6 linked regions of the Canis lupus familiaris genome follow. The protein of the gene in region 6 purifies or fractionates together with the protein of the main gene of each other region. This does not show direct contact. Links are inferred from orthologs where the notes say so. Each region holds a gene or a part of one and is shown on either strand. Other genes may lie near its edges. The genes, in order: PRMT1, HNRNPU, RBM42, DNM1L, VCP and SERBP1.

Region 1 (4,931 bases), on a different chromosome or scaffold from region 6:
GTCCGGTCTTGGTCTTGCTCGCTGGGGGCCTGGAACCACCCGCCAGGCTTAGCTCACCAGGCTTAGCTCGCAATGAAGCAGCTTCCCCAGGCCTCTAGCGCCACCTCTAGTCACAGGCTGGACTCCCAGATCTCAGGTAGGAACTGAGGGACCTGATGTCTTGCTGGGGTCAGGTGGTGGGCCTTCTTTGGTTCCAACCCTGGGGACCCCAGGCCACAATCACCGCCCCCCTCACCTTTATGAGGCAGGCGTTGGTGACCAGCTGCTTGGGGTCTACCACGTCCACCAGGGGCTCCTTGATGGCCACGTCTTTGATGCAGGACATGTCAAAGCCGTACACGTTCTCCCACCCTGGGGTGTCAGGCAGGGAGGAGGGGTGAGCCCATTAGGGGTGCCCAGGCCAAACCTGCCTCCCCCCCACCTCAAGCTGCTATGCCCCCCTCCCCCCCAGCTCACAGTGAATCTTGTAGTCTTTGTACTGCCGGTCTTCGATGGCTGTCACATACAGCGTGGCTCGGTCCGGGAAGATGAGGCCATCAGGTGCCTGCCAAGGGGTCAGGTGAGGGTGTGAAGGGGGGGGCCTTGGAACCGTGCCCCCAGACCACAACAACTTGGGTCTCTATCCCCACCCTGGTCTGAGCCACCGGGCTTCCTACAATGGCCTCCTAGCTGGTTCCTGGCTTCTGCCCTCATGCCCACATCTATTCTCCACATGGCTGCCAGGCAGCATCCAGCAGCACCAAAGTCAGGGCTGTCCTTCATAGGTTCTAAAGGCTCTGCAGAACCCTCCCTGGCTCCTGAGAGGAAAACTAGTCTCATGGTGGAGAGGACAGGGAGGCACTCAGGCCCATCCACTCCTTCCCTTCTGTTTTCCCTGCTATTCCTCAACACACAGTAAAAACACTCCTGCCCCAGGACATTTGCACCAGTTCCTCTTTGCCCCAGATCTTATGTAGCTCTTTCCCCTTGTTCAGGTCTGTGACCTCCCCCCACCAGGAGGCCTGCTTGGATCTGAGCACCTGGAACCATGGCCCTCTAGCCTCTCCCCATCTTTTGCCCTGCTACAATCTTCTTCCTAGCACCAACTACCTCATGACTCTGTCTCCTGGACACTGCTGCCTGTTACATCCCATTTTGGCTTTGGACCCTCCAACATCTGAGCGGTCAATCCCCTGTATCAAGTCCCCTGTGTGGGAAATACCTAGCACAGCTTTTGGTTTTCTGCCCAGATCCCAACTGGCAGGTGTCCTGCACACAGTCGGAGGAGGAGCCCTGCCTGTAGGAACCACTCCCGCCCCACTAGGGGCCTCACCAGCCACTTGTCTCGGGCATAGAGCACGGTGTTGAGCATTGACTCGTAGAAAAGGCAGTAGCCCATCCACTCGCTGATAATGATGTCCACCTTCTCCACCGGAAGCTCTACTTCCTCCACCTTGCCCTTGATGATGGTCACCACTGTAGGGGGCACAGAGAGGGACATGCAACCAGCTCTAAGGAGACACGTCCGCCTGCCTTCCCTGGGGGGTAGCCCATCTTCTCAAGGAAAGGCTAGGGGCTACATGTGGGCTTCTTCAAAGAACTCTGTCAGCTGAAGCCATACTCTGAACTCAGATTTTTTTTTTACTTTTTTGAAAGTAACTCTACACCCAACGTGGGCTCAAACTCATGACCCCAAGATCAAGAGTCACACACTCTATAGACTGAGCCAGCCAGGTGCCCCTCTCTTAACTGTTTTATTTTTTTATTTTTTAAATATTATATTTATTTATTCATGAGAGACACAGAGAGGCAGAGACACAGGCAGAGGGAGAAGCAGGCTCCATGCAGGGAGCCCGATGTGGGACTCGATCCCAGGACTCCAGGATCATGCCCTGGGCCAAAGGCAGGCACTAAACCACTGAGCCACCCAGGGATCCCCTGTTAACTCTGTTTTGAAGTGCATTCATCACTCTGGATAGTTTTAAGACAGAAGCAGAAATTTTGAGTGGATTAGGTATTAAATGATAATAAGACTTTGTCATTAACAGTACAGTCATGTTTTTGAAAGGCTCTATTACACACACACACACACACACACACAGTGGGATTTGCAGAAGGATGACATCACAGTTAGAATTTGCTTCAAATGGATGTATTTAAAGCCAAGTGATGCGTATCTGGGGGTTCATTATACTAATCTCTCATATATATATATATATATATATGCTAATCTCTTTAAAAAATCACTTCAGGGCGCCTGGGTGGCACAGTCCATTAAGCATCTCTTGGTTTTGGCTCATATCATGATCTGTGTCATGGCACTGGGCACCACTTGGGAGCTCTGACCTCAAGAGGGAGTTCACTTGAGATCTCTCTCCCTCTCCCTCTGCCCCTCCCCCTGCTTACGTTTTTCTCTCTAAACAAATAAGCAAATACATAAAATCTTTATAAATAATCACTTCACTTTCTAAATGCTAGGAGCCTCCACATCCGAAAAACCTACCATCTTCCCACATTCTCTGCCTCTGGAACCTGGCAGATGGGCACTTAAAAGCCACGTGGCAACATTCACACAAAGAACATTTCTGACCCAAGCAGTCCTCCTTTAATAAACTGACCTCCCAGTTCCCCTAGCTGATACATGAAATGACATCACAGGCTCAAGGATGAGCATCTCAGGAGTGGCTAGAAAACCCGCCCCCCGAGCCTGATCAAAAATGTTGGGGTACATGCAGACAATGGTCATTGAAAAGGGTCTTTAAGAGCCTCTCACATCTCAAAATGTGTGAAACTACATGATGAGCAGGTGGAAAAAGTAAAGGGCAAAAGGCTTGCGTGAAATGCTATTTATGTAGAAGCCATGCATGTAAGCGTGATAACATTTACACGTGTATGTGCTCGTAGGTGCAGACTTCTCTGGAAGGCAATGTGGGTTGAACTTAGAAGGGCAGCTGGAAGATCTCTCACCATGGACCCTCGGGTGTCAACCACATGCCTCTACGAACTAAAGACTGCTTCTTGCCCTAGTGTTTGATGAGTAAGGCACTAAACTTGTGACTTCACCACTCAATTTCTAAAAGGGCAGAGCATGCCCGTCACTACTGGTTATAGGTTCTGGGAAGGTGGGATACCCAGGCTGCCAGCAGCTCAGGGCCCATGGTGGGAGAAACAGCTGAATCTGTGTTCAGTGACGACCCCCACCCCATTGCCAAGGGCCCCCGGGGAAGCGGGGCGGTCACCCACTCCATCCCACAAACCCATTCTCTTCCTGGGCTCACCATGGTCTAACTTGTTGGCTTTGACGATCTTCACCGCATAATCAGAGATACTGGAACACTCGATCTGGGGGCCCAGGAAGAAGGGAGGGTGAGACCCCCCCCACTCCCACCCTCAGCCCCCATTCCCCTCCGTCCAATCCCTGAGCCCTAAGGGGCCCCTCTCTGTCCCCTGGCCCTGGCCCACCCGCCTGCCCAGGACACTCACCCCAATGACCTTGCGGGCTCCAGCCTTGGCAGCAAACATACAGAGGATCCCTGTGCCCGAGCCCACATCCAACACCACCTTGTCTTTGAAGAGGTGCCGGTTGTGAAACATGGAGTTTCGGTAGGTGAGGGTGCGCACCTCATCTTTCAGCATCTCCTGGCAGGGAGAGCGGGCACAAGATACAAACATGCCATGAAGGGGCCTGCGCCCCCAGCTAGAAAATGGGGTGCCCTGGCCTCTGACACACTGGCACTTTGGAAAGCTAGAGCTCAGTCCTCCTGCTTCGTCTTCTTGGAACAAATCATTTTCCTTCCTCCGCGTACCTCAGTTATTCTGTTTGTAAAACCAGACCGGAGGGACTAACAGCTTGGCCTGATTCTACCACTGCCTCCCAAGCCGCAGTGATCCTTGGCTTTATCCAGAACTTAGCGCCACTAGACTGTACACTTAAGAGGTAAATTTTGTTACGTGCATTTTACCACAATTTGGAAAAGAAAAGGTCTCAGCAAGAGAAAAAAAAAAAGAGAGAAAAAGAGAAAGGAAAAGAAAAAAATTCTCAGAGTCCCATCTCGACCACGTTCTGGGACCTCAGTGCAAAAGGGTCGGGAAGCCAGCGCACCAAAGGCGGGGCGGTTGGGGGAACAGTCCCACCGCCAGTCACTAGAGGGCGGCAGAGACACGCAGGCCCTGACCTCCGCAGTCTCAGGCAGGCTGAGGGGTGCTCCCCCCTCCCCAGCCTCCCAGGAGCGCCAGGCTAAGCTCCGTCTCCAAGGCAACGGCTGGGAGAGGCGACCCCGGGGTGTGTGCCTCACACCCAGAGGGGCGGCCAAGCCCGCTGCCAGGGGAGGCAGTGCGCATGCGTGGGAAATTCAGCCCCAGCCTTCCCAAACATTAACCCCCTCAAGATCCAGCAGCTTTAGGAGCTGTTCACACTCACCTCGTGAATGCCGAAGTGAGCATAGGAATCAAAGTAGTAATCTTTGGACGTCATGTCCTCAGCATTGGGCTTCTCGCTGCTTTCTGCCTGGCCACAGGAGACCTGGGAGAGGGTGGACGGGAGCAGAGGTTAAATCTGGGGGCTCTCCAAGGCCTCTTAAACCTCCAGGTCCCTACTTCTCCCTGGAGAACAGATCCTCCCCCCAATCATACCATGGCAACCCTAAAGGCCCCACCTGCCGTCCTGCCTCCCCCACGAGCCCCAAAACCTTACAACCCCACTTTCCTCTTCCAGGACCCCCCCAGAGCACCATCCAAGGGAGCACCCCAATACCTCAGCCACGCCTACCATCTCTCCAGTCTTTCTGCCCCCGTCTCTAGCTCAGCCCACAGCTGGGGAGGGGAGGGGAAGGCAGAATTGGGGCAGACACGGGAAGGGCAGGTGGGGGGGCTGGAAATGGAGTTAAGGAAGTAGCCACGGTACTTGGGGAGGCCAGATGGGAGCCACAGACCTGGAGGGTGGTTTGTACTAA
Region 2 (5,507 bases), on a different chromosome or scaffold from region 6:
GCATCAACCTAAAAATGTGAGCTATATATTCTGAGCACCCTCACTTTGTTATCCATCTGTTTGTTACCCATACGTAATGGTTCATCACTTTTTGCTATTGAGAATTCATTTGTCTCCTCTTCCACTCTGTATGTAGTAGTCTCTAGGATTTCATAAAGGGGGAATTTCAAGATTCTTCTAGGTCCCTCAGTGATTTAGGGGAAGTGACTTACACCTTTACTGATGACTGTAGTATGAGACAATCATGACAGCATTAGAAGCATAAGAAGCAAAAACAGTAAGTCGTTATCTGTAAGTGCAAGTGGTAAAATAGTGAATTGCAGATTTCACCTGTTTGTAAAAAGGACAAACAGTAACATGAGGGGTCTGACTATTTGCAAAAACTGTTTTTCTTTCAAATGTTGTCTAAGAAGGCCCAGTGTAATGAAGGAGCCCTGGGGTGGGAAGGTGTCCTCTGCCTCTCAGGCTGTAAAATGGGAGGCCAAAAGCCATCTCTCACCTCTATTGAGCTCTAAAAGTCCATGACAAGCTCTTGGAGAAGCCATGGAACTATTCATGTCATCTACTCTTACATTTCAGGTTTATTGTTACAACTGACAACATACCAAGAACCATTGTCATAAATTGACATTTAGACATAGAAACTTTCATAGTTTACGTATTCTCAATTAAATGGAAATATTTTTCATAACACGAATATTTAAAAATGTAAAACTATCTAAGGACACTTATAGACTCAAAGAAGCATCATCATAACTACATTTAAACTTTGATTCATGAAGGGACTAATTATCCAGTTTGTGAACCTGTAAGCCCCTGTAGCTCTCTTCCCATTCTTTGCAAAGAATTTGAAACTCCAGTTTGTGAGTTGTTTATAAGCTCCAAGGACATCGTAACCAAAGGCCAAATGAGTTTTTGGCACTATTTGGAAGTTCCTATTTTGGGTGCCTTCCCCCTCCACTGACTTTCACCGAGAATTAGCAGTACTGTACATACTCCATTAGTTAATTTCAACTGTCATTCCACAGATGTATTTCATCTTTATGACGACTGAGTGGTAAAACACATGGTTCTTGGAAGCTATGGAGAAGAAACTTGAAAAAATAAAATGCATTCAACGGTTAAATCATACTGGCCTCTGCTAGTATTGCTCCAGTTTCAAGTTAACATTCGGGGCAGCACTACTCCAGCTCCAGCACCACACAGTGGGTAGGACTGAGCTCTCTGATAGTGGGACGTTGTCTAGTCACTGTGCAGGCTTTCTTGGGGGTGTCGCATGCGCCCCTCTATCACGTATCTAAGTGCTGGCCCCCTGTGCGCAACCTCAAGAACCTAACATGCCTTTTATTTGGGAAAAGGGAAAAATCAAACTTCTAAAACACACCCAAATACACAACAGATTTCGGGAGCCGATTGTCTCTTTTTTCTTTCTTAGAAAATCCCGGCCCTTTGACTCGTCCTGAGCTCTTACTGGCTTCAGCACGACTTATGGGGGGTGTTCCTGCGGGGGGGGGGGGGGGGAGAGGCGGCGGAGGGCACGATCCGGGGGCGTGAGCTCGCGGGGGGCCGTCTGGGCGGGCGGACGTGCCCCTCCGAGGCTCGCCCCGCTCTCCCGCCCCGGGGCGGCCGGACCAGCCCTGCCATCCGGGCTGGGGAAGAGACAAAAGGGATGCTCTGTCCTCGCCCTTCCCGAGCCTAAAATCCAGGGCGCAGGGCAGGGCCTGGGAACATTCCACCAAATGCGAGACGGAAGGCACCCCCCGCGGGCAGGGCCTGCCCGTCCGTGCCGTACACATCAACACGGAAATAAGATTTCGAGGCGTTTTAAGCAGCGGGCTGGCGAGCGAGAGAAAGAGGCAGGCCCATCCAAGATGGAAGCAAGGCCGAGGGCTCGGGCGGAAGCCGCCGGGCCGGGGCCGGGGCCGGGGCCGGGGCCGCCGGGCTCTGGGTGCAGCAGCCCCGCGCCCGGGGGCCGAGAGCGAGGCGAGGGCCGCCAGCACCCAGCTCGGGAGGCCGCCCGGCTGCGGCGGATCGCTGTAACCGAAAGGCGGCCCCCCTCCTCCCCCAGCTCGGCCCCGCGGGAAGCGCACTGCGCGGCCGGCGCCGCGCTCTCGGCGGGTTGGGCGTGGGGGCGGGGAGGGCAGGGCGGGCGGGCGGGCGGGGGCGGGGGCGGGGCGCGGGGGCGGGGCCCCGCGGCGCGGGCGCGCTCCCCCCCGCAGCGGAGCTCCCGTCAGCGCAGGGGGCGGGGCGCCTATATTACGTGCGCGGCGCCGCCCCTGCGAGAGGACGTTGCGTGCTCGCTCGCGCCAGGCGAGTCTCCGCGTCTCCCTCGCGAACTCGGTGAAAGGAATTGGCGCCGTTCGACACCAGGCGGGTCCGCTCTGCAGCACGAACCCACCTCTAGCCGCAGCCGCAGCCGCCGCCCGGGCCGAGGAGCAGCCGCAGCAGCCGCCACCAGTGGCCGAGGGAGCGGAGCCGAGTTTGAGCCAGCGCCTAGCGGTGAATCGGGGCCCTCACCATGAGTTCCTCGCCTGTTAATGTAAAAAAGCTGAAGGTCTCGGAGCTGAAAGAGGAGCTCAAGAAGCGGCGCCTTTCCGACAAGGGCCTCAAGGCCGAGCTCATGGAGCGCCTCCAGGCCGCGCTGGACGACGAGGAGGCCGGGGGCCGCCCCGCCATGGAGCCCGGGAACGGCAGCCTAGACCTGGGCGGGGATTCCGCCGGGCGCTCGGGAGCAGGCCTCGAGCAGGAGGCCGCGGCCGGCGGCGACGAGGAGGAGGAGGAGGAGGAAGAGGAGGAGGAAGGGATCGCCGCCCTGGATGGCGACCAGATGGAGCTAGGAGAGGAGAACGGGGCCGCGGGGGCGGCCGACGCGGGCCCGATGGAGGAGGAGGAGGCCGCCTCGGAGGACGAGAACGGCGACGATCAGGGCTTCCAGGAAGGGGAGGATGAGCTCGGCGACGAGGAGGAAGGCGCGGGCGACGAGAACGGGCACGGGGAGCAGCAGCCTCAACCGCCGGCGACGCCGCAACAGCAGCCGCCACAGCAGCGCGGGGCCGCCAAGGAGGCCGCGGGGAAGAGCAGCGGCCCCACCTCGCTGTTCGCGGTGACGGTGGCGCCGCCCGGGGCGAGGCAGGGCCAGCAGCAGGCGGGAGGTAAGAAGAAGGCGGAAGGCGGCGGAGGCGGCGGTCGCCCCGGGGCTCCGGCGGCGGGTGAGTGCTGCGTTGTACGTTGCGCGCGGCGGGAGGCCCGCGCGGGGTGGGGACCGTGCCCCAGGCCTGCCGGAGCCCCGCGGGGGGGAGGGGGCGGGGGCCGCCGCGGGGGAGGCGGGGGGGAGGGGGCGCGGGGAATCCCGCCCGGCCGCGAGGCCTCGGCGGCCTCGGGCTCGGCGTGTGCGACGGCGGCGGCGCCTCCATTATGTGGCTGGAGGGCCGGGGGGTGGGGGTGGTAGCTGCAGCTGCCGCTGGAGGGGGAGGAGCCGCGGGCGGCGGGCGGGAGCCCGGTCGGCCCGCGGTGGCGCCGCTGCGCTGCGTGCGCGCGGTGCGGGCACATGTCTCGGGGGGGGGAGGGGAGAAGAGAGGCCCGAGGGCCCGGGGCGGGCGCGCTTTGGCGGCGCTGGGCCGCGGTATTGTGCAAGGAGCGCAGGGGCTCGGCGTGACGTCACTTCCGGCGGGAGGGGCCGGGCGGGGAGAGCGGGGCGGAAGATCAGTACAATGCGGCCGCGGGGAACGCGGGCCCGGGTGGGGGAGGGGAGGAGGGGAGGGGCGGGCGCGCGGGCCGGCGCGGCCCCTCCCCCCTTCCTGAACTCTCTCCGGGATCCACGTGGGCTCGGGGCCGGGGCCGCCCTGGGCTCCGGGAGCTTTCTCGAATCTTCGAAGAGGCTGGCAAAATTAGGAATGTCTTTAGACTGCGTCACTAGCTCCTGGCCGGTTCCAAGCTGATTGTTCTTTGAATTCGCGTTGGATTCGTCGGTTGAAATCGCTTGCAGAAAAGAACGGGGGAGTTAGGAGTATTTGCGTTCCCCAAACAGGAGGGGGGATTTTTTTTTCTTTTTCCCCGGTTGCGTCGCGGCTTGGCCCCTTATGTTAGGGGTGTTGTGTGTTATAGGAGACGGCAAAACAGAGCAGAAGGGCGGAGATAAAAAGAGAGGGGTGAAAAGACCTCGAGAAGATCATGGCCGTGGATATTTTGAGTACATTGAAGAGAACAAGTATAGCAGGTAGAGGATGCCGATCTAGTTTTACCCGTCCCCGTTCTTTCTGGGGTAGGAAAAGCTGAATCAGGAGACAATTCTGTCTTTCAGAGCCAAATCTCCTCAGCCACCTGTTGAAGAAGAAGATGAGCACTTCGATGACACAGTGGTTTGTCTTGATACTTGTAAGTGAAGCTGTTTCTTCCCTTTTCTCCCCCGGTTACTAAATGTGGCGATTTTGGTGCCAAAATGTTAGAGAACTTAAACGCAGTGTGCTGAATTTAAATGCAGAATACTTAGCGTAAACCGTTTACCTTTTTTAAAGGAGGGAGACGAAAGGTTTTATTCAGATTCTGGTAGCTAAATGTCTAATACAGCATCAATTGTGTCGTATTGATAATTTTATAGGCTCCAGCAATTTGGTGTTATTTTTTATATGATTAGAAAGTTCTCATTTATAGGAATGTAAAATTAATGGCAATTTTTGGTTTAGTTAGCTAATGGAAACTTGTAAGACAACCTGTAACTTGTCCTTTTAGGCTCCTACGATAAAGTAATTTAATTTTTTTGGTAGCATTTTATTAAGTGAGCTATTTGGGCTAGTTAAATACGTATTAATGATTTTTTCCCATTAGCACACAAGTATATTCCCTATTCTAAAAGATTGTAATATTACTTTTTCAATAACTGCTCTTTTGTTCTCAATTCCAGTTCAGTAGCTGCTGCTTTAACATAAGTTGATTTCTTCCAAAGACCTGGGGCAGCAGCAGTGGGCTATCACTGGGCTACTAGCTTTCTTCAGCAGCGAATGGTATCAATGGCAGCGCTGTAAATACTGCTACTTTACCCAGTTGGGTTGCAATTGAGTATGAGGAAGTATTGCAAACCTCTAAATGGGCCTTGGCTGTCAGATATGTAATTTTGCATAAAAATACTTTGTTCAGTATTTGATCAGAATGCACAGCTCTTTCACTTTGATAAATAGAGCTTAGAAATAATGGCTTGCTAAGTAGGTGGTCAGGTGTGAACCTGCCCCATAGATCTAGGGAGTTAAAGTTTAGATTTCCGTGTTTTCCAATACAAATTATTTTTAGCAAGATTTGTGAGAATGTAAATGTTAACTCTTGAGTTCGTATTAAATACCCTTAACAGGTAGTTGAGCTAAGGGAATCTTTTAAAAGAAAAGAAAACTGCACGTGGAAAAATCTTTGATGTGAGAGTTTTATTTTAAATAGTTCCATTGCTTTTAAATATGACTAAGTTGGAATTGGCAAGATAGTGAAGCAGTGCTTCCAGAAGTGACGCTACCGCCCAAGTA
Region 3 (5,401 bases), on a different chromosome or scaffold from region 6:
CAGAGTTGGAGGGAACAGACCCATCACCAGAGAGTGACAGACCACAGTGATCAGGGCCAAGATGAGGTAAAGCCCAGGCAGGGTGACTGAACTAGGAGGGTTAGGCCTAGGGAGTGGTAAGAACCCAGGGGAGCCCTCTAACCTAGCCAGGGTGATTAGAGGCTTCCTGAAGAAAGAGACCTATGAACTGAGACCCAAAGGATAATAAAGACCCATTGCCTTTAGTCAGGCAAAGGGTGATTGTAAAGACTACTGGCAAGGAGAACATTTATAAACAAAAATGTTTTCACTTTTCAGTTGAGTATAATTGTAATAGCAGAAGTTGAAATCTGGAGAGCATCATTAAGAGAATGGTCAAGAGCTCAGCAGGCATCCAAGCATAGCCTTGTTGACTGGCTATGGATGTCCTCCTGAGGGCACTAGGGAGTCACAGCAGGGTTGGAAGCTGGGCAGGGTGACTAGGTCAGATGTGCATTTTGATCAAACCCATAGTAAAGAATAAGAGATGTTGAGATTTCTTAGATAGATAAAAAAGTATAACAGGACTTAAGTAACACAATTAACAAGTTTAATTTAAGAGAGATTGTACCTAAACTTTACAGAACACGTATTCTTTTCACACATACAAGGAAGCAGTGTCACAAAAATTGACTGTGTGTATGAAGGTCATCTTGACGATAAAAGTAAGAATGACCTGTGGAGAGGACAGATTTTAGTTGATTTTGGTTAACTTGAATCTGCTTTAGTTAATAGGCTTTGAAAGATTTTAGTTGGGTGACAGTGAGCAGAGGAGAGAAGAGAGATCAATAAGAATATTATGGGCATATTCCAGCAATGCTTAGGGTTCCTGGGAAGTCTATGGGGGTCTCTCTGTTAGGGACCAGGCAATGTGGGGTCTTGACTGCCAGGTGATGAGCTTAGTGCTTATTTGATAGTTTATTTATCCCATCAACAGACAGCACGTAACGCTTACAATGTGGCAGGCACCAAGACTTTTGTCCCTCATGGAGCTTGTATTTTAAAGGAAACAAAAGATAATAGCCATAACAAAGAAATCCTACAACTTGTTATAAGGTATTAAGTGCTATGGAGAAACAGCAAAGAGTAGGGATTAGGAGTAACAGTAAAGGGATAGGTTTGCAATGATCAAGTGAAGCCCTACTGGGGCCAAACTGACAAGCATATGATCAGGTTTGTGCTTTAGGAAGATGGCAATGTCAGAGCCGAGATGAAACGAGGAGGGTGAGTTAGTGCAATGATGTCGGCAAGATGCTGCGGTAGTCAAAACAAGAGTGCTTGGTTAAATGTGGGGTTCTTGGCCCCAGACCTACCTGCTCGACGCAGGAACATAGCTTCTCGAGCCTCTGGACTGTCCAGGTGACTCCGATCACCAGGGCCAAAGCCAACTGTTGGAAGAGGAAGAGACAAGGCTGGTGGGAGGAGAGTCCCAGGCATCCCTTTTGATCACCCTGCCTGACCCCCTGGCTCCTTCTCCTCCACTGCTCCTTACTTACCTGGACCCACAAAAGGAGGGCCACCCACCATCGGAGGAACCACTGTGGCTGCAGCAGCTGCTCGGGCCTCCAGAGTCTGTTGGACCTGTTGGGGAGGAAATTAGGGTGAGTGGCCTGACTTAGTGCCCCCAAGCTGCCCTGGCTGGCTTACTCTGAGAGGCCAAGGGTTTCATTCCTTGCATTTTGTGTATGGCTGGCTATCCATCAACTTTAAGTCTAGGTTAAAATATCACTTTTCGGGATGCCTGGGTGGCTCAGCGGTTGAGCGTCTGCCTTCGGCTCAGGGTGCGATCCCACGGTCCCGAGATCGAGTCCCGCATGGGGTGCCCCGCATGGAGCCTGCTTCTCCCTCTGCCTGTGTCTCTGCCTGTCTCTCTCTCTGTGTCTCTCATGAATGAATAAATAAAATATTTTAAAATAAATAAATAAATAAAATATCACTTTTCAGGGAGACTTTTGAGATCACACTAGTGAAAGCTGTCCTTAGCCCCTCCCAGTAGCAACTTCTCTTGTCATCCTGTTTCATCTCCTTCAATGCATTTAGCACTATCTGGAGTTATGTCCAGCCTGTCCTTCGCATCTCCCATGCCATCACCCTGGTCCAAGCCATCGTTATCTCTGGTCTAGATGATTATTGTAGCCTCTTCTTCAGTCTCCGTGACTCTGCTCTGGCCCCCCTATGGTCTACTCTCCAAACAAGCTATAGTTAGTTAATATCTAAGTTGGACCATATCACCCCTCTGCTCAAAATCCTTCAACAACATCCCATCTCAGAGCAAAGACCAAGGTCTTTATGGTGGCCCACAAGGCACTACCATGTCTGGTCTCTATCACCTCTCTGTCCTCATCGTCTCTCACTCTTCCCCTTGTTCACTCTACTCTAGCCACACTGTTCTCTCTGTTCCTTGAACATGTCAGGTATGCACCTGTCAGGTATGCGTCTTGCATTGGCAGTTGTCTCTGCTGGGAATGCTCTTTCCCTAGATATCCCCATGGATATCTTTCCGTAACTGTCACCTCCTCCGAAAGGCCTTCTCTGACCATGCTGATAAACCTCTGCCTTTTTTACTCTACCCTGACTGACCTGTCTGTCCTTCCTCAGTAAAATGTAAACCACAAAAAGATAGTGATTGTTTTTCTCTGTACTGTTCTCTGCTATGTGCCCGGTGCATAGAAGGCACCCAATAATTATTTACTGACAGAAGGAACAAGTTTCTTTCGTTTTCTTTCAGTAGTTTCTCTCTCCACGTCATATACAACTTTCTATTGAGCAGGTGAATGTGACTAACGAGACCGAGGAACTATTTAACTGAAATGTAAATTTTAATATGTACAGAATACTTTTATCATTACAGAAAGTTCCGCAGGACGACATGCTCTAGAATAATATGCTCCCAAAGGGCAGAGATATTGTTTGCTTAGTTGTTACTGTGTTCTCAGTGCCTGGCACATGAAACATCTGTCACGCTAATCAGTAAGTCCACATGCCAGTAGCTGTCTGTATACAAACACCGTGTTCCAAGCGCTGTGCTCTCGGATTTCCATGCCTCAGCTCAGCCATACCTGCTGGTAAGTGTTGGTTGCGATAATTGGGCGGATCACAGGAGCTGCCGGGACCTGCATCGCTTCCACCGTGGGGACCGTGGGCACCGCAGGCACAGCAGTAGGGATGCCGGTTACCGGAGCCCCCAGAACTTCCTGCTCAAACCTGCGGGGGCAAGACCGACACCACAGCTCAGGACCTCGCATTAATTCTGAAACGCGACGGCGCCTTCGCCCCTGCCAACCTCCGCTTCCTCCCGCCCCCACAATCCCGAAAGTCCCATTTCCCCACGACAGAGCCATGTCGGGCTGATTCCGGCCTGGAAGCTCCAGGGCTCGGTGGCTCTGGCTCTGGGACGGTTTTTATCGCGCCCTGTCGCGGGCCTTACAGGGCCATCTCCGCCTCCATCTCCTTCAGGCGTTCCTCCCCGCTCTTGCCCGGCATGCCGGCGCCCGGGACCACAGGTCCTCCTGCACCCGGGAGTCCCGGGGCTGGCCCCGCCCCGGCCATCGCTGCAGCCGTCGCTGTCGCCGCTACTGCCGCCTCAGCTCAGCTGCCTCCGCCAGTTCCGCTGTCTACTCTCTGGTCTTGTCGGGGTGGGCGCCCGCGATTGACGTTCGGCGAAAGCGACGGCGCTGGTGCATGACATCATGCGGAGCGAGGCCAATGAGAATAGGGCCGCACCTGGAGGGCCCGCCCCGGGAGGAATATAAACCAATCAGAGTGGCGGAAAAAAGGAACCAATGAAGAACCTGGATCTAAGTAAGTGCAGCCAAGCGAGGCGACCACACCCTCATTGGAGGAACAAGGGCTAATGAGAGCGCTGTGAAGTCGCTGGCCCCATCCCTAAAGAGGAAAGTGGACCTTTGAGAGCTCAGAAAAGTTCGCAGGCTCCGCCTGTGCCACCGAAGCTCCTTCCGGAAGCTTTAACACAGGGAAGTCCGCAGCAGCCCGGGGCTGGGCGGGGCTAGGCGGGGCTGGAGGCGGCTGGTTGCCGAGCGCCTCCCCTCTCGGGTAGACGGGCTCGCACACCGCCGGGGACTCCCCGAGAGACGAGGGTCCTGGTGTGGGGAGGGGCTCAGAGGGGCGCCTGACCCGGGCTTTCTGCCGAGGGTGACCTCTGAAGACTTGCTGGACGGAAATGGAGAGAGAGTTGTGGGGGGCGGGGGGGAGGAACAGTTCCTGCAGAGGCCGAGACCGCAGTAACATGTCAGCTCAGAAGGTCACGTGGGTAGGTCTGGTCTCCGTGGCCTTTGGGACGCCGCGCGTCCCTCTTCGTCGTCTTCAATGTGTTGTGTTAGGAATATTTAAAATACACAACACTAGAGAATATAACGAACCTCCACCTCTCAGCAATTACTCATATTCTACACTTTTTGTTTCACGTATTCTCCTCATTGATATTATGATTTTGCTGGAGTATATTAAATTCCAGACATCGGTCAGTTCACCCATAAATGCTTCACGATGTCTCGCTAACAGATAAGGACTATTTATTTATTTTAGATAAGGACTATTTAAAAGAAAAAAGCATTTCACACCTAGGAAAATTAAATAATATATATATTATTAGATGATATATGTATATATATATCATCTAACACCCAGACTGTTCAATTTTCCCTGCCGCAGAATGTCTTTGTGTAAAATCAGGCTACAAATAAGGTATACACGTAGCATTTGGTAGGTTGGTGGAATTTGTGTGTGTGTGTGTGAAAACTTACTTTTTACTGGCTGTCTTGGTTTCTTGAAGTTCCAAGTCTAAATCAACACTAATGAATCCTTTGTGAAAATACTGTCTTTGGGGATCCCTGGGTGGCTCAGCGGTTTGGCGCCTGCCTTTGGCCCAGGGCGCGATCCTGGAGACCCGGGATCGAATCCCACGTCGGGCTCCCGGGGCATGGAGCCTGCTTCTCCCTCTGCCTGTGTCTCTGCCTCTCTCTCTCTCTCTCTCTCTCTCTGTGTGACTATCATAAATTAAAAAAAAAAAGTAAAAACAAAAAAAACTGCTACGCACACACAAAACCAAATGGTCAACAAAACATTCTCCTTTCCTTCTGAAGGTTTCACAATGCATTGTTATCATTAACTAGTCTTTTACTATTAAACTTAAATGGCCAATTGACAGTTCTGAGACCGTTCTTCCACCACCAATTAAGACTAGGGTGGACAGGTATTGGGGATAATATTCATTTAGCCTTCTGAGCTTTCTGGGCAGACTTGTGACTTTGCCAGTTCCAGCTGCCTTCTTGTCCACTGCTTTGATGACACCCAGAGCAACTGTCTGTCTCATGTCACAAATAGCAAAACGGCCCAAAGGAGGACAGAGAAGCTCTCAACACAC
Region 4 (4,931 bases), on a different chromosome or scaffold from region 6:
GGATCCAAATGCACTTCTAATGACCAGAAAGGGAAACAAAACACCCAGCCAACACATAGAGACATAAGGCGATTTCAAATGCTTATCCCCTATTTTTGCCAATTTCAGCATTTTTAAGGATAGCAGTAACCCAGAAAAGAGCAGCAAGCAACCATGATATTACAGTGTTGCATCATCAAACAAGCAAACTACAAGTGGCCAAATTACCCTGATGTACTAGAGCTAAAATAGTTTGCCATATAAAAGCTCAGTTTACCGGGCCTGATTATTAAACTAATTTTCCATTAGATCAGTGGTGCTATATAGTATAGCAAAGCTAATCACAATCGTCAACACTTAACTCCATTCTTATGAAAACCTAGAGCTGTAGGCTAACAGTGATTAAAATATGAAGAAAACTATACTTCATGCCAGAATTACTTGTGTCCTTTGAAATAAGAGTGAAGTTTACTTCTTTTTCTTCCCAATACACTGGAAAACATGGCTTAAACTCTAAAGTACTCCTATTGCTATACAAAAAAATTTCTTTAGTGGTTACCATGATGATTTGTGAAAATAGCAGCTCACCATTTCATTTGTAACAGGTAACCGCTTACGAAGAAGACAAGTCACTACTTCAACTATGGCATCATGAAGTTTAGGAAACCGCAACAATTCCTATAAATGATAGAAGAAAGAAAAATTTAACGGTCTACTTTGTTTAAAGGAAAATTAAATAATCACCAAAATACTGAATTAGATTTTAAGCAACATATAGCATTACACTTCAAATCACTTTCAGATACAGAAAAATGCAGATTTTTAACTTATTTTTAGCCCATCTTACATACTTCCTCCCAATCCACAAAACCACCACTTCCCGTCTTTTACTACTTAATCTGACACGTTACATTTCTCAGTTACCTGTGTACTATAATTACTACAGTGCTGAATAATCCTTTGCATTTCCTCATGAACCAGTTCCACACAACGCAGGCTGGGTTCTTCCAGACGTTTGATTTGCCGCTTGACCAATAGCTCAAATGAAACTTCAGGCACAAACAAAGCAGGACGAGGACCCTAAAAAAATTTTTTGAGCTCTTATTATAGCTATATTAAATTTTAATTCTTCCCTAAGTTAAAATAAATCATGTTTTTTGGTATTTTTCATGAAAAGTGCTTCCTGATATTAAGTATGAGGGCAAAAATACAATTCCTTTAAAGATATAGCTAATGGGTTAAAAATTATAATAAATCCTTAACTTTTTAAAAAATTTCTAAAAGTTGAGCATACTCACAGTAGCATTTCTAATGGCAGTCAAAATGTCAATGGTGTTAAGGCCACCTAGTGGGTCAACAGATTCTAAAGTTCGCCCAAAAGTCTCATGGAAAATATAACATATCCTAGCACCACCGCATCTGAAAGGCAATGAAGTATATGGTTTCTATTATTATTAAAAGGGAAAGAAGCTACAAGTCAGAAGCCTTTCTATAAGCTTTTAAGGTCTTATTGTCTGATAAAGTCTCAGATAAGCAATTACTTTTAGATCATTTCCATGTGTTCTCAACTCCATTATGAACCAGTTTCTGTAATTTTTTTCTTTTAATGAAGAAGAGTCATTCCACAAAAGGCATCCATCACATGTATGTATTTGTTTGCATGCACACAGACACACATACAGAATAATGGTCTGTCCAAAAACATTAGGTAACTAAGAACTATTAAACATCTTTTCTCTGCCCTTAGTTTCCTTGACTATGAGCTTTTTAAAAGACAAGAAATGATATCTTGTTTATTTCTGTTTATTCACAATTTAGAGAAAAGATAGGCAAACTTTTCCTGTAAAGGGCCAGATAGTAAATAGTTTAGGCTTTTCAGGCCATATGGTCCCTGCCACGACAACTCCATTCAACTACTGAGCACAAAAGCAGCTATAGACAAAAATACAAACAAATAAGCGTAGCTGTGTTCCAGTAAAACTTATGCACACTAAAATTTGGATCTTAACATGTCATGAAATATTCTTTGAATATTTTTCAACCATTTAAAAATGTAAAAATCCTTCTTGGCCGATGGGCTACAGTTTTCTTCTGCCTTAAACAAATTAAATCTCTACTATCCACTACTTTCTTACCGTTGTCTAAGCAGAAGGTACCAACCTACATTATGTTAAGTGAAATAAGCCAGACACAAAAGACAAAGATTATATGATTCCCCTCATATAAAATATCTAGAATTAGCAAATTCATAGAGACAGAAAGTAAATTAGAGGTTACCAGAGACTGGAGGAGGAGGGAACAAAGAAATACAGAGTTTCTGTTGGGGTGATGAAAATTTTAGAAATAGACACCATCTGATGCTTAGACAATATTGTGACTGTAACCAAATGCTATTAAACCACACTTAAAAATGGTTAAATTATCCATTTGCCTCCAACCGATCCTTTCTCCAAATAATTTTCCATAATAATTAAAATTATCCTTCTAAAATGGGTACTCCTCTGACTGAAAGTGTTTTATTTTCTATGGCAGGAAGTTCTCTAAATTCTGAAGATACCTGACTTTCCACAATCTTGTTCTCAGATGCCTTTGCTGCCTAACTGCCTGCTATGTCCTGCCACCGTACATGCCATTCCCCAAATACACCTTTTGCATTATTCTTTGCTGTCCCAAAGCCTAAAACACTCTTCTACTTATTGCTTCCCTATATCCTATTCAGAGCCCAACCTGAACACATTCTTAACTATGGCACTTACCCAGTCTCTCAGAGAAATGTAAATGATCTCTCCTCAATGTTTTAAGGCTTAAATGATTACACAGATATCTGCTTTATTAACTACTTATAAAATTCCCCATATAAAAAAAATTCCCCATATATAAGCACTTTTCCAGATATGCAGTATATTAAATAAGTATTTAAATAAAAATACTTGATTATACACCTGTTTGCCACTGAATCATGCCTTGTGTTATCTTATTCTACCTTACCCACTAAGTGCTTCAAAGGCTCATCTTAGTAATCTGTATTTCCCCTCAATATGCCATATGTTTATATATATAATATATATAATATTATATATTAATATTATATATATTATAATATGACTAACCATTCACCAATTAATTAGTAATTAGTTAAATACTGTCTTTACAGAATTAACTCACATAACAGGCCACCTGTGTCACACAAAAGTACACAGAATACACATACCAATGTGTGTATAATTTCACAAGTGGTAAAATCTGAATAAGCTCTGTGGGCTGTACCCTTGGTCCATTTTCTCATTTTGTTTCTGTACTACAGTTATGCAAGATGTCAACACTAGGGAAGATGGGGTGAAAGATTAACAGGACCTAGGAAGGCATATTTATTCGCAACTTCCTGAAAGTCTATAATTATTTCAAAATTAAAAATTTTTTTTTAAGTGAGAGTTCAGATAAATGAACATTCTTACATATTGCTAACAGTAAAACAATATAATCCACTAACAGTATGGCAACAGGAAGGGATTTTTAGGATGTTCTCCCTTTGATATAGTAATTCCATCCTAAGAATTTAGCCTAAGGGTTTACTCAGATTCATGCCCCCAAAATAGTCGATCAAAACACTGTTTATATTTAAATGAAACTATCAGTAGTAGGGTACTGGTTCAAGACATTAGGGTGTATCTAAAAAGCAAAATACTATGTAAATTTTAAGACTGGTAATAGAAATGTACAATTAATATTAGTTGTTTGTGACACAATGATTTAAAGGAATGATTCCAAAACAGCATGATAGTGTTTTGATCTGATTTTTGAAGATGTGTAATACAGGCATTTATAATATTTTATCATTGCATTGAAAAACGTCTAAGTTCGTGCCAAAATTAGCAGGGATTATTTCTGGATAGTGGAATTAAGTCATTTTGTCCTTCTGTTCTTTTTGTCTGCATTTTCTTTTTTTTTCCCCATGAAAAATCAGTGTGTCTATTAAAGAGACAAATATTTAAAAAGTTAAATTATCAAAAAAAAAAAAAAAAGTTAAATTATCAATTATATTTAAATGCTTATCAAAGTCTTGTCTAAAAAAAAAAACAAATTTACTGTGCTTTACCTAGTTTACAAAGCATTTTAACACATATGTCAGACAGCATCCTATTATTTCTGCAAAACACTATTCTGCAAATAACAAATCATGATCAGAAAATCTCAGAGTTAAAGTCACTGTTACAAAAGCAAAAGTAACCCAGCATTTCAGATAAGCAAACCCATAGAGAAATGTTTTACTTACAGCTCTGAAGTTTCAATATATTTTGCAGTTCCTTCAATAGTGTTACAATATTCTGTGGCGAATTTGGTGATAAGCTGGAGCAGAGTAGCACTTTTATCGTCGACCGGCTCACCATAGCTATTGAGGAGAGACTGATACTGGGCAGCTAGAACATTTATCCTGGTTTTCAGCTCTGGTAAGCAATCTCTGATGTGATGCATCAGTAACCTAACAAAGGTCAGAAAGAAAGGATTCTTACAGTAAAGCTGTGTATTCTGAAGACCCAAACAGGTCAAATTTTTAATGTGCCAATAATGGTAAAAGCTGTCAAATAATTTGTCCTGGCAGGAAATAAAGCAATATTAGGCTGGAAGTAAATGCTTAGTGTGAAAAAAAGACACGATGATACTTGAGCCCACACTTTTTACATTTTTCAGACTAAGTAATCATTTTCACTGTGCTGAGTATCCACAGTAAAACAGAAGTCAGAAATCAAAATTATGTAGATAGAATTATACTGAGTAGCTTACTTTCTATGAGGTAATTGTAATTAATATAAAAATAATTTTTTCAATTTATATCTGGCTCTCTAGCAATCGCTACAATTTGATGGGTTGAACACGAACAAAGAACTTAGTCAACACTTTTTAAATTTGCCTTCAACCCCAACTTATTAAGATCCAAGTCCATGAGCCTTTAT
Region 5 (4,931 bases), on a different chromosome or scaffold from region 6:
CTCTTTGAAGCTGTCTTTTTTATGGCCTATCCACAGGCTGCACATGGGAAATGCCCATATAGAAGATAAAATTATTTGTATGGTACATACTAGAGAAGAGGGTAATTTCATCTTCACTGTGCCCATGATATGGAACAGTTAGGAAGTCACATTGTAGGTCTGCAGTTCTCACATGTTTTGGATTCAGGACCCTTCACACACTGCAAATTTCCTTAAACTTTTCTTGGGTGACATTGTTACATACAGGTAGGCAACTATGATGAGATTTGTTTTTATAGGGTCCGTGAGATAAAAATGGTTTTTACATTTTTAAATAACCATAATATAAAAAATAATGCAACAAGAATTGACCCGAGTCTTTGTTAATTACCAGCCTACATTATGTCCCAGGATACTCACCTTAACACCAATCGCCTTAAAGAGAGCAGGATGTCTGAGAGGTAGCTCCACCATCTCCTTTATCTGAGCCAGCTGTTTCCTGCAGCCACCAATATCATCATAGCCTACTTCATTCAAGGACTCTTCCTCATCCTGAATACAGAGAAGACAAAGAAAAAAAAAAAAGGCAGGAATATTATTATTATTAGCAAAAGTTGAGTTTCGCCAAATCCTTCTACAATCTGGTATAGAGAAACCTATTTTACGAGAGGATTCTCCTCTAAGGGGGATCCTGACTCAAAGAACAATTCTAAAAATCCCAAAGCAAAGATTTTCAGCATAGTCTTTCCCTTTTACACTGCCCTTAGTATTACTGGAAAGAACCACCCTAAGACTAAAGCTAGAAACTGGGAAACAGACAGAGGTCTGGATGCCATCATCAATGTCACTTCTACAAAAATTATTCCAACCACTTAGATCTTTTGAGTTCAATCTGGATTTTAAAAATTACTGGTATCATATACTTCTAGAAACACACAGGCCCAGAAATGAATAGTTGAAACATTTTCACAACCTCTGGAAAAAAGCTTAGTTCCAAAGAGCACTCAGTTTTATTTTTAATAGAGGAAGACAGAGATGGGTGGGAGCAGGGGCGGAGGGAGCAGGCTACAGAGCGAAAGGGAGAGAATCTTAAGCAGGCTCCAGACCTAGTATGGAGCCCAAAACAGGGCTCAACCTCACAACCCTGAGATTATGACCGGAGTTGAAATCAAGAGTCAGATGCTTAACCAACTGAGCCACCCAGGTGCCCCCAAAGAGCACTCACAGTTAGTAGTTACCATATGACCGCCCCACTTTGTAATCATGAAATTGGGTACTGGGATAAAGGAGAGAACTCACCTCTCGTTTGATAGGCTCCCCTTCACAGTGGATCACTGTGTCTGGGGCAACAATGCAGTAAGGACTGGGATCTGTCTCCACTACTTTGAACTCTACAGCACGCATTCCACCCCGGACAAGGAAAATGTCTCCTGTGAGAGTAATTAGCACAAGTGCAGTCAGAGATGTCAAATACCAGAGCAAGTGAGAGTTCCTCACCAGAACCTGTTGTCTAAAATGCCAAGTTCACTAGATACTGCCCCTTTCCCCTTCCCACCTCTACCTTATTAAGCATCAGGCAAGAGGAGAAAGCTAAACTGTGAAGTGTCCCTCTGCCATTCAAGAGGACACTGAACAAAATCTTATGGGCTATAGGTAACCAAGCTTTCACAACAACCACAGATGATCAGACTGTGCTAAATATTAAATACACTTTGGACTGTGACACAGCCAAAAAGTGCCCAAGTCCTCCTTCTGGGACAAAGGAGAAGAGAGCTTACTCTACTGAAGCAGGGAATGATAGTAGGGAAATGGAGGAGTGGGAAGGAGGAGGAAGGAAGGAGAGTACACATGAGCGTGTATGCAGAATGTGTGTGTAAGCACACATATGAGAATGAGATAAAGACATTCCAAGATTTACTCCCAGGTATCCCTACAAACAACTATCCTTAAGCTCAGTCTTTAGAATTATCTCTCACCTTTCCGGATGGGTCGATAAGCTTCCAGGAAGTATGGCTTAAGGTATACCTCGAAGAGATTGCCAGTGATGCCTTCCACCGTGTCATCGATGGGTAGCACGTGGATACGTTTGCCGTACTTCACATCAGGACACGGCTGGATGCTGAGGATGACAAGCAGACTCCACATTACCAACCACAATGTAGCCCCAAACACTGGGCGTCTGAAAGTGCCTGGCACAGAGAGCTGACGGCAAGTAAAAGAAAAAAGGTAGGGATGGCTTTAGGTGAAGAGAGGAAGGAGGGCAGAGTGAGAGTGAGGACAAAAGAGCAGCCAAACAGAACTAAGACCAAGTCATACTTGGGGGAAGGGCAGTAGTAGGAGCCATTAGAAGAAGCTACAAATTTACATTAAAATTTTATTTTTTTTAGGTAAATTTAAAGTTGAACTAAAATGGGGCTGCTCACTCCCAATCAGTGAGCCAAAAGGAAGACCCACACATGTAAAGCCCCCAAAATGAAGAAATAGGAGCAAGGATCTTCAGTGAGAGATATCCAAAGATGACCCATTTGGCTAATATTAGTAACCCAAAATTACGGAGGCCGTAGTGGGACAAGTATCAGGATCAAAAAAATAAAACTGAAAAAAAAAAAAAAAAAAAAAGTCATCTCAGCCAGGTGGTCAGAGAAACTTGACGTGATTAAGCACCTCCAGAAGGCTACATGAAATCTAGAATCCATTAAAAATAATCAGAAGTCTGAGATGTTCCTGGCCAGTCTCAGATGTTCCTGACAGGGGGTTGGATAGCTGTGGCTAGTGATGACTCCAAGATGGGAAAGCTTCTTGCCTAAAGTTAAGTTTAAAATCTCTCAGATTGGGGATCCCTAGGTGTCCCAGTGATTAAGCTCCTGCCTTCTGCCTGGGGCAGGATCCTAGAGTCCCAGAATTGAGCCCCACATCGAGCTCCCTGCATGGAGCATGTTTCTCCCTTTGCCTGTGTCTGTGCCTCTCTCTCTCTCTCATGAATAAAATCTTTAAAAAAAAAAAAATCACTCAGATAGAAGCTGAAGCTATTCAGGGTCTGACTCAAACTATGCTTCTATTCTATATTAACTTTGATCCATAAAAAAACCCTAATCGGAAATTCGCCTTCTATGCCCACACTCCTACCTCATTCTGGTCCCAACACAAGCCATTATTTCAACATAACAGTGAGATTGTTTCATAGACACTCTCAAATGGTATCCTAAACCAGCGTTCAGCATGTTATAAATCATACCTCTGGCAAAAAAAATAAGTAAAGGTATCACAGAAGTCACAGAAATGCAACTTGTCCCAAGGGTCATGCAGAAGTAAATTCTGAAGTCTCAGGGAGGCAGAATCAAAACCTAAAGATAGCCCTGCTATATTAAGTCTTCCCATGGCTAGAAGGATTCTGCTATGGGTAGCTGCCAAGAACTTCATTAGTCCTGTCTATAATTCAGGCTGTCTCTGGCCTCCCATCCCTGAGGGGCTAAGAACCCCACACACACCTGATTACATCCCCTAGATGTACGCGAAGGTTATTCCGAACAACTCTATTCATTCGAATCTTCTCATCGGAACATGTGTCATCAGAAAGCACAATGCACACAGCTTCCCGCCTCTTCTTTCCTTTCAGCAATACTGTGTCACCTCGGAACAACTGCAGTTCATCCATCTTGGGCTGAGAAAAGAAGGTTAAGGCCTTTGGGTCACTGGGCCAAGGGGTAGGCAGCAGCCCTGGAGGCTGGAATTCCCAGTAAACCCCACTCTATCTGTGGTCACTGCAAAAAAAAAAAATGAGGAAAGAAACCTGGGAAAAGTCCTCAGGTTAAGTGCAATAAGGAAAGACTGAACCTTTGACCCAACTTACCTGGGACAAGGACACCACACTGTTGTCCTCATTGATGGCTTCATCGACAATTAACCGATTGGGACGATTCTTCTGTTTAAGAATGGCTGTTGATAAGTCATCACCTTTTGAACTAAAAAGAGAAAATGAATTTAGTCCCAATACATACTCCAGTCCCAGGGACCCCACCAGTCTTTAAAATTCACACTTACGAAAGAAATAGTGGATATATGAAGCTGTCCCTATGCCAGAGAGGTCAGATAAAGGATATTCAGCCACGGTCACGAAGAGTAACATTTAGCACATACAATTCCCATTCCAGCATCTCTTAGTATTCTGAGCACTGGTATCCTAGCTGTTAAGGCCCCAAGTGATCTTGCCCCAGAGTCAGGAAACTATGGCCTGAGAAGACTAAATAGAGGTAGAGGCTGAGTAGGACACCCAGGTGGCTCAGGGGTTGAGCATCTGCCTTCAGCTCAAGTCATGGTCCTGGGGTCCTGGGATCGGGGTTCTGGGATCGAGTCCTGCATCAGGCTCCCCACAGGGAGCCTGCTTCTCCCTCTGCCTGTGTCTCTGCCTCTCTCTGTGCCCCTCATGAATAAATTTTTTTTTTTAAAGTAGAGGCTAAGTAACAATTAGAGAAATGACAATAATCTTAGTATGAAAGAAACAGTGATTAGGAGAAGGGGCTATGCAGTCAGACCTGCTGGGTCTGAATCCCAACCCTGCCACTGTTTAATTGTCATCTTGAGCAAGTTACTTAACTTCTCTGGATGATGATGTCCTCATCTGAAAAGAAGCAAATACAGTAGTACCTATCTTAAAGAATTATCTTAAGTGAGATAATGAATGCAACAATGCCTGGCACATGGTATTAATGGTCACAATGATTACCACTGCAGAAGAAAGCATAAACTCTTCTTTGCTAACCTTCTTGGAGAATGAAGTGAGCAAGACAACTTCCTGTAGGACTCAGGGAGGCCCCAAGTCCCACCAAGCCTGGGGACAATGAAGTAGAATCATTAGCACTACCATCCTTACTGGCTAAACCTGCTAAATTCCAGAGCATTCTATATACCACAGAAATGCCAAGCACAAAGACTATGACATTTGGGGAAAACTA
Region 6 (4,931 bases):
TAGGGATCAGGACCATAAATATTTGCAATGAGTCTTGTCCTGAATGTCTATCAAAACCTAGGACGGGATGCCTGGGTGGCTCAGCGGTGTAGAGCCTGCTTTCGGCCCAGGGCATGATCCTGGAGTCCCGGGATGGAGTCCCACCTTGGGCTCCCTACATGGAGCCTGCTTCTTCCTCTGCCTAGGTCTCTGCCTCTCTCGAATAAATAAGTAAAATCTTTAAAAAAAAAGGGGGGGGGGGGAACCCCCTGGATGGCTCAGCAGTTTAGCACTGCCTTTGGCTTAGGGCATGGTCCTGGAGTCCCAGGATCAAGTCCCATGGCAGGCTCCCTGCATGGAGCCTGCTTCTCCCTCTGCCTGTGTCTCTGCCTCTATCTCTCTCATGAATAAATAAATAAAATCTTAAAAAAATAAAAAATAGGAAAATTCTTTAATAACATCGTGGGTTTAATTTTCTAATAAATCACACAGGTAGATTCACATGACGGATGTATGTGGATTCTTTTTTAGTATTTTATTCTCCTCACTTGCTAAATAAGAATGGCATCAATTTGAAAGCAGCATAAGAAACCTATTATATATAATGATTCATTCATCAATGTTAGGAAGGGACCCAACTGCTATTTACAATCAAAGAACAAGTAACAACAAAAATGTATTAAAAGATCCATACACACAACACAGACCCTTTAAAAAGCCTAATGTTCAGATGAAGAAAAAGAAATCACTCCATTATTACCGGTGACCATTCTATGATATTAAGCTACCACTATAATACACTGACAGATTCAATCAGGTCCCCAATTTGCATATCATGGGTTGAGAATTCAGGAGGACGTCACTGGTTTCCTAGCCAGACAGAGACCATGAATTAACCTAACGCAAAGGTTACTGCTAATACTTTAATTTCAGTCATTAACAGCATATACTTTGGCATCAAATGATCAGAGTAAAAATTTATCAATCACTAGGTCTTCTATAAAAATATTTAAGAACCTGTCATATACACTGTATGAGGCATTAAATTATAAAGGGAGGACAAAAATGAATCCCAGCTCTCAACACTGCAGTCTAGTTTTTTCTAGATTATTGAAAAAGTGTCAATAATCATCCGGTTAGTGTCACACAATTATGCACACAAATGCTACACTGATACTCAAAAATGTAGCCAAGAGTCAAGGCAAAGGAGATAGTTGGCATTTCAAGTAGACTTTAGCTAAAGCTCAAGTTAACTTGGTTCCCTGTACCTAAATTTCCTCTTCTGTAAAATGGGGATATCAATATAGTAACAAGAATGAAATGCCATAGTACATAAAATACCTAGCACACCACCATGACCAGCACCAAATACTCAAAAAAGTGAAAATTTAACTTTACTAGCAAGCACTCTTCAGTCAATTTAAGTGCTTTTAAGCAAAAATACAGCCTAAAATGTAATTTCTTGAAGGTATATCTAACTACTTCTTCCTTCTAATCCTAGCCCCAAAAGGACCCAGGGCACTGATTTACCAAAAGAGGTCCTCAAATTACTTTAAAAAGAATTCTTAAAATTACCTTGTCAGTTCTGCTGCCACGGTTTGGACGTCCACCACGCCCACGGCCACCTCGTCCTCCCCTGCCACCACGTCCTGGGCGGCCAAGGTCTCCAAAATTGATCTCCAGCTGAGACGTTATATCATTTGCTGGCTTCCGGAAATGATGGTCCATAACCGAATCTTCAGCATGAGCCTAAAAATTTAAGAGTAGGTCATGGGGTGATTAACAGGAAAGCAACACTGCAAATTTCTAATTATTGAGCTTTCTCTTAAAAAGACCAAGAATCGGGATTTCCTGGGTGGCTCAGCGGTTTAGTGTCTGCCTTTGGCCCAGGGAGTGATCCTGGGGTCCTGGGATCGAGTCCCACATCAGGCTCCCTGCAAAGAGCTTGCTTCTCCCTCTGCCTGTGTCTCTGCCTCTCTCTGGGTCTCTCATGGATAAATAAAAGCTTAAAAAAAAAAAAAAAGAGGGATCCCTGGGTGGCGCAGCGGTTTAGCGCCTGCCTTTGGCCCAGAGCGTGATCCTGGAGACCCGGGATCGAATCCCACGTTAGGCTCCCGGTGCATGGAGCCTGCTTCTCCCTCTGCCTGTGTCTCTGCCTCTCCTTCTGCCTGTGTCTCTGCCTCTCTCTCTCTGTGTGACTATCATAAATAAATAAAAATTAAAAAAAAAAAAACATTAAAAAAAAAAAAACCAAAAATCCAATCTGTACTTCGTGAACAAATACAACAAATGATAATTTAAAAATATCAATACCACTAAGGTAATATGTAAACTTGGAGATCAGCTGTGATCTTAAAGGAAGAGTTCCTTTCACTTTTAACTTTATAAACTACATGTGATATTGGCAAGTCTTGATCAGAGGTATGTAATCACAACCACTCAAGTCTCTAGGGCCCATTTGAAACCTACCAAATCATAATCTTTAGTGAAGTTTGGGTAAGTACATTTTAAATATGTCCTTCAGATTAGATTCCAATGTGAACCCCTGATGAAGACTTTTGGATAGATTGCACGGGAGGTCTGTATCAGGGATTAATACTAAATCACTTTGTGAGTTTTAAAGAAAATTCTGGGTCTGCACTCTTCTAAGTCTGACTTGGGAAAATTGCAGAATTACAGACTCAAAAGTGAAATCAGGGAACCTTGAAAAGCTATAAGCACAAATAAATCCAAGCCTTAAATACAGCCAGGTAACCTTAATGTCAACATATTTGTGAAATCCAGGTCCTCCTTTGTATTTATATATAAGGTATACCACCCACTCTGTAAAAAAAACAAAACAAAAGCCGGACAATTTTACACTGCTTAATTCCTAATTTTTTCCTGTATGTTTGGAATGAATAAATTTTCACCTTCTAGTTCCAAACCTTTCTTATAGTACTTTGGAGTGTGTTTTAGTTTTTCTAAATGCAGGTACAATCCTTTTCTGAAGGAATAATGAACATTTTGTTCTTTTTAAATCCTGTAACACCACAACTGTTAATAACTTACCACTCACTCTAAGTACCAATGAATTTTATATCTGCGTCTTCGCCCCTTTGTCTAATATCCAAATTAATTGTCATTCCTTAGTGCTAAGCCAATCTAAAGGCAGTAGACGGTTCTTCTTAAAATATCAACTTTAGGGCAGCCTGGGTGGCTCAGCAGTTTAGCACCGCATTCAGCTCAGGGCCTGATCCTGGAGACCCGGGATTGAGTCCCACATCGGGCTTCCTGCATGGGGCCTGCTTCTCCCTTTGCCTGTGTCTCTGCCTCGCCCTGTGTCTCATGAATAAATAAGCTCTTTATATATATATATATATACACACACACACACACACACACACACACACATATAAAGTCAATTTAAATTAATGTTTAAATGTAAATCCAGAAAACCTGCAAAGTCAATTATACATACTAATTGTTTGCTATTGCAAAACAGTATTATCAATTCATTAATTAGAAGCATTTAAGTTTCTAGGAAACAGAAGCAAAAAAGCCTAATTGATATACTACTGAAACACCTCAAAGGTTTTATTACAATAATATAGAGGAAGTTTAAATGTTGGTGAACATCCCTTTAAGACAGCTAGTAGGATAAATCTGCAAAGTTTTTTTTCTAGAGCAGTGAATGATAATCAGGAAATAAGAGCTTTGGCTTCAGCTCTGTCAATTAATACCCTAATTCAGTTATTCATAATCAATTTCACATTTTAATTTTAAAACTTTCTAATTATATATAACGGTTATTTCTGAGAAGCTCAATGTAAAAATATGATACCTAACCTGATGTCTACAAAATGCATGAAGAGACTTCAGAGTAATTAATGAATCAAGAAAAATGTATCAGTATTTTGTGTATGTGTCTTGTTTTGGAGAAGACCTCAAAAAAGTTACAAATTATGCCAAAGGTACCTTAAGTAAATCTTTTCCATATTAACCTAAGCAGTTTAATCATTTCTACAAATTAACAATCTCCCCAAGATGAATTTTCATTGTTTCTTTAATCAAGAATACTTTAACCCAGATACACAACTCTATCTGCAAGAATTATAAAAAAAATTTTTTTAAATAAGCAAAAGCATTCAAATGAAGCAAAACGTCTTTTCCGACACGACTTCGCACTTTACAACATATCCCTGTTTATATTATTTTATGGAGTCAATGTTGTTAAAAAATAATTTCTAAACCATAAGTGTCTCAACCTTTATTTTACAATGTTCCAAGTTTGTTTCACAGCTATTTGTTTAGAAAATGAAGACGCAATATCTCATTGAATCTTTTAATTACACTGCCTTAGTAACATTTCAATTTAACTTTATGATTAGCATCTCCTACTTGCATAAGCCTTAAATGATGTAGCAGTGGGACTTTCCTCTAATAACGTGCTCCAGGGATTGTTACCCAATCAAAAACCACGAACATACCTTTCTCAAGTATTTTCATTAGTAAATTACTTTGCTGGTTCTTATTAAGACATCAGTCCTCAATAAGTACAGCATCATTTATTAAAGAGTCTTGATCATTATAAATGACAGGCAGAGAGTTTGAAAAACTGAAAACTGAATACTGATGAAGCTACGGTCTTAGGTTAAACCATAAGAAAATGCAAACCTTTCAACAATTCAGTTAGGCAAGATTTTTAAAAATATTATCACAACTTTGAAAAGACCTACCTTATTTCTAAAACACTAGTAACTGTATGATAAACACCTGATTGCTTTCTAGAAAAAAACAACAAAACCACCACATTAAATACATTATTGACTGAAGGACTACCTTTCTTGAAATATATGGTAATGCAGTTTATTTCCTTTTTGAGCATCTTATCTACCCCAAATGATCCTATGTAAAGTTTTTATTCTTTATAAACAGATTAGCTATGTTTTGAAAAAGTATAAATACCATTC

What was found.
Region 1: the proteins of SERBP1 (region 6) and PRMT1 purify together in Homo sapiens (affinity purification with mass spectrometry; 3 studies listed by BioGRID and IntAct, with this or other methods). This does not show direct contact. The link is inferred for Canis lupus familiaris from reciprocal best matches to the Homo sapiens genes SERBP1 and PRMT1.
Region 2: the proteins of SERBP1 (region 6) and HNRNPU purify together in Homo sapiens (affinity purification with mass spectrometry; 3 studies listed by BioGRID and IntAct, with this or other methods). This does not show direct contact. The link is inferred for Canis lupus familiaris from reciprocal best matches to the Homo sapiens genes SERBP1 and HNRNPU.
Region 3: the proteins of SERBP1 (region 6) and RBM42 purify together in Homo sapiens (affinity purification with mass spectrometry; 3 studies listed by BioGRID and IntAct, with this or other methods). This does not show direct contact. The link is inferred for Canis lupus familiaris from reciprocal best matches to the Homo sapiens genes SERBP1 and RBM42.
Region 4: the proteins of SERBP1 (region 6) and DNM1L purify together in Homo sapiens (affinity purification with mass spectrometry; 3 studies listed by BioGRID and IntAct, with this or other methods). This does not show direct contact. The link is inferred for Canis lupus familiaris from reciprocal best matches to the Homo sapiens genes SERBP1 and DNM1L.
Region 5: the proteins of SERBP1 (region 6) and VCP purify together in Homo sapiens (affinity purification with mass spectrometry; 3 studies listed by BioGRID). This does not show direct contact. The link is inferred for Canis lupus familiaris from reciprocal best matches to the Homo sapiens genes SERBP1 and VCP.

The regions. Positions count from the first base shown.
Region 1 is NC_049222.1:107,528,842-107,533,772, forward strand, and holds part of PRMT1 (protein arginine N-methyltransferase 1), read right to left. Parts: intron 4,849-4,931; exon of another isoform or gene 4,751-4,848; coding exon of another isoform or gene 4,733-4,750; intron 4,502-4,732; coding exon 4,400-4,501; intron 3,619-4,399; coding exon 3,463-3,618; intron 3,322-3,462; coding exon 3,258-3,321; intron 1,456-3,257; coding exon 1,313-1,455; intron 545-1,312; coding exon 457-544; intron 352-456; coding exon 236-351; intron 1-235. UniProt on the Homo sapiens protein: Arginine methyltransferase that methylates (mono and asymmetric dimethylation) the guanidino nitrogens of arginyl residues present in proteins such as ESR1, histone H2, H3 and H4, FMR1, ILF3, HNRNPA1, HNRNPD, NFATC2IP, SUPT5H, TAF15, EWS, HABP4, SERBP1, RBM15, FOXO1, CHTOP, MAP3K5/ASK1, MICU1 and NPRL2.
Region 2 is NC_049228.1:35,785,175-35,790,681, reverse strand, and holds the start of HNRNPU (heterogeneous nuclear ribonucleoprotein U), read left to right. Parts: upstream 1-2,279; 5' UTR 2,280-2,518; coding exon 2,519-3,209; intron 3,210-4,104; coding exon 4,105-4,216; intron 4,217-4,300; coding exon 4,301-4,374; intron 4,375-5,507. UniProt on the Homo sapiens protein: DNA- and RNA-binding protein involved in several cellular processes such as nuclear chromatin organization, telomere-length regulation, transcription, mRNA alternative splicing and stability, Xist-mediated transcriptional silencing and mitotic cell progression.
Region 3 is NC_049222.1:117,828,214-117,833,614, forward strand, and holds the start of RBM42 (RNA-binding protein 42), read right to left. Parts: upstream 3,684-5,401; 5' UTR 3,568-3,683; coding exon 3,446-3,567; intron 3,223-3,445; coding exon 3,078-3,222; intron 1,600-3,077; coding exon 1,515-1,599; intron 1,407-1,514; coding exon 1,332-1,406; intron 1-1,331. UniProt on the Homo sapiens protein: Binds (via the RRM domain) to the 3'-untranslated region (UTR) of CDKN1A mRNA.
Region 4 is NC_049248.1:30,398,377-30,403,307, reverse strand, and holds part of DNM1L (dynamin-1-like protein), read right to left. Parts: intron 4,460-4,931; coding exon 4,253-4,459; intron 1,399-4,252; coding exon 1,278-1,398; intron 1,060-1,277; coding exon 904-1,059; intron 658-903; coding exon 568-657; intron 1-567. UniProt on the Homo sapiens protein: Functions in mitochondrial and peroxisomal division.
Region 5 is NC_049232.1:51,940,371-51,945,301, forward strand, and holds part of VCP (transitional endoplasmic reticulum ATPase), read right to left. Parts: intron 3,942-4,931; coding exon 3,830-3,941; intron 3,641-3,829; coding exon 3,468-3,640; intron 2,099-3,467; coding exon 1,956-2,098; intron 1,410-1,955; coding exon 1,279-1,409; intron 532-1,278; coding exon 400-531; intron 1-399. UniProt on the Homo sapiens protein: Necessary for the fragmentation of Golgi stacks during mitosis and for their reassembly after mitosis. Involved in the formation of the transitional endoplasmic reticulum (tER).
Region 6 is NC_049226.1:43,516,987-43,521,917, reverse strand, and holds part of SERBP1 (plasminogen activator inhibitor 1 RNA-binding protein), read right to left. Parts: intron 1,729-4,931; coding exon 1,555-1,728; intron 1-1,554. UniProt on the Homo sapiens protein: Ribosome-binding protein that promotes ribosome hibernation, a process during which ribosomes are stabilized in an inactive state and preserved from proteasomal degradation.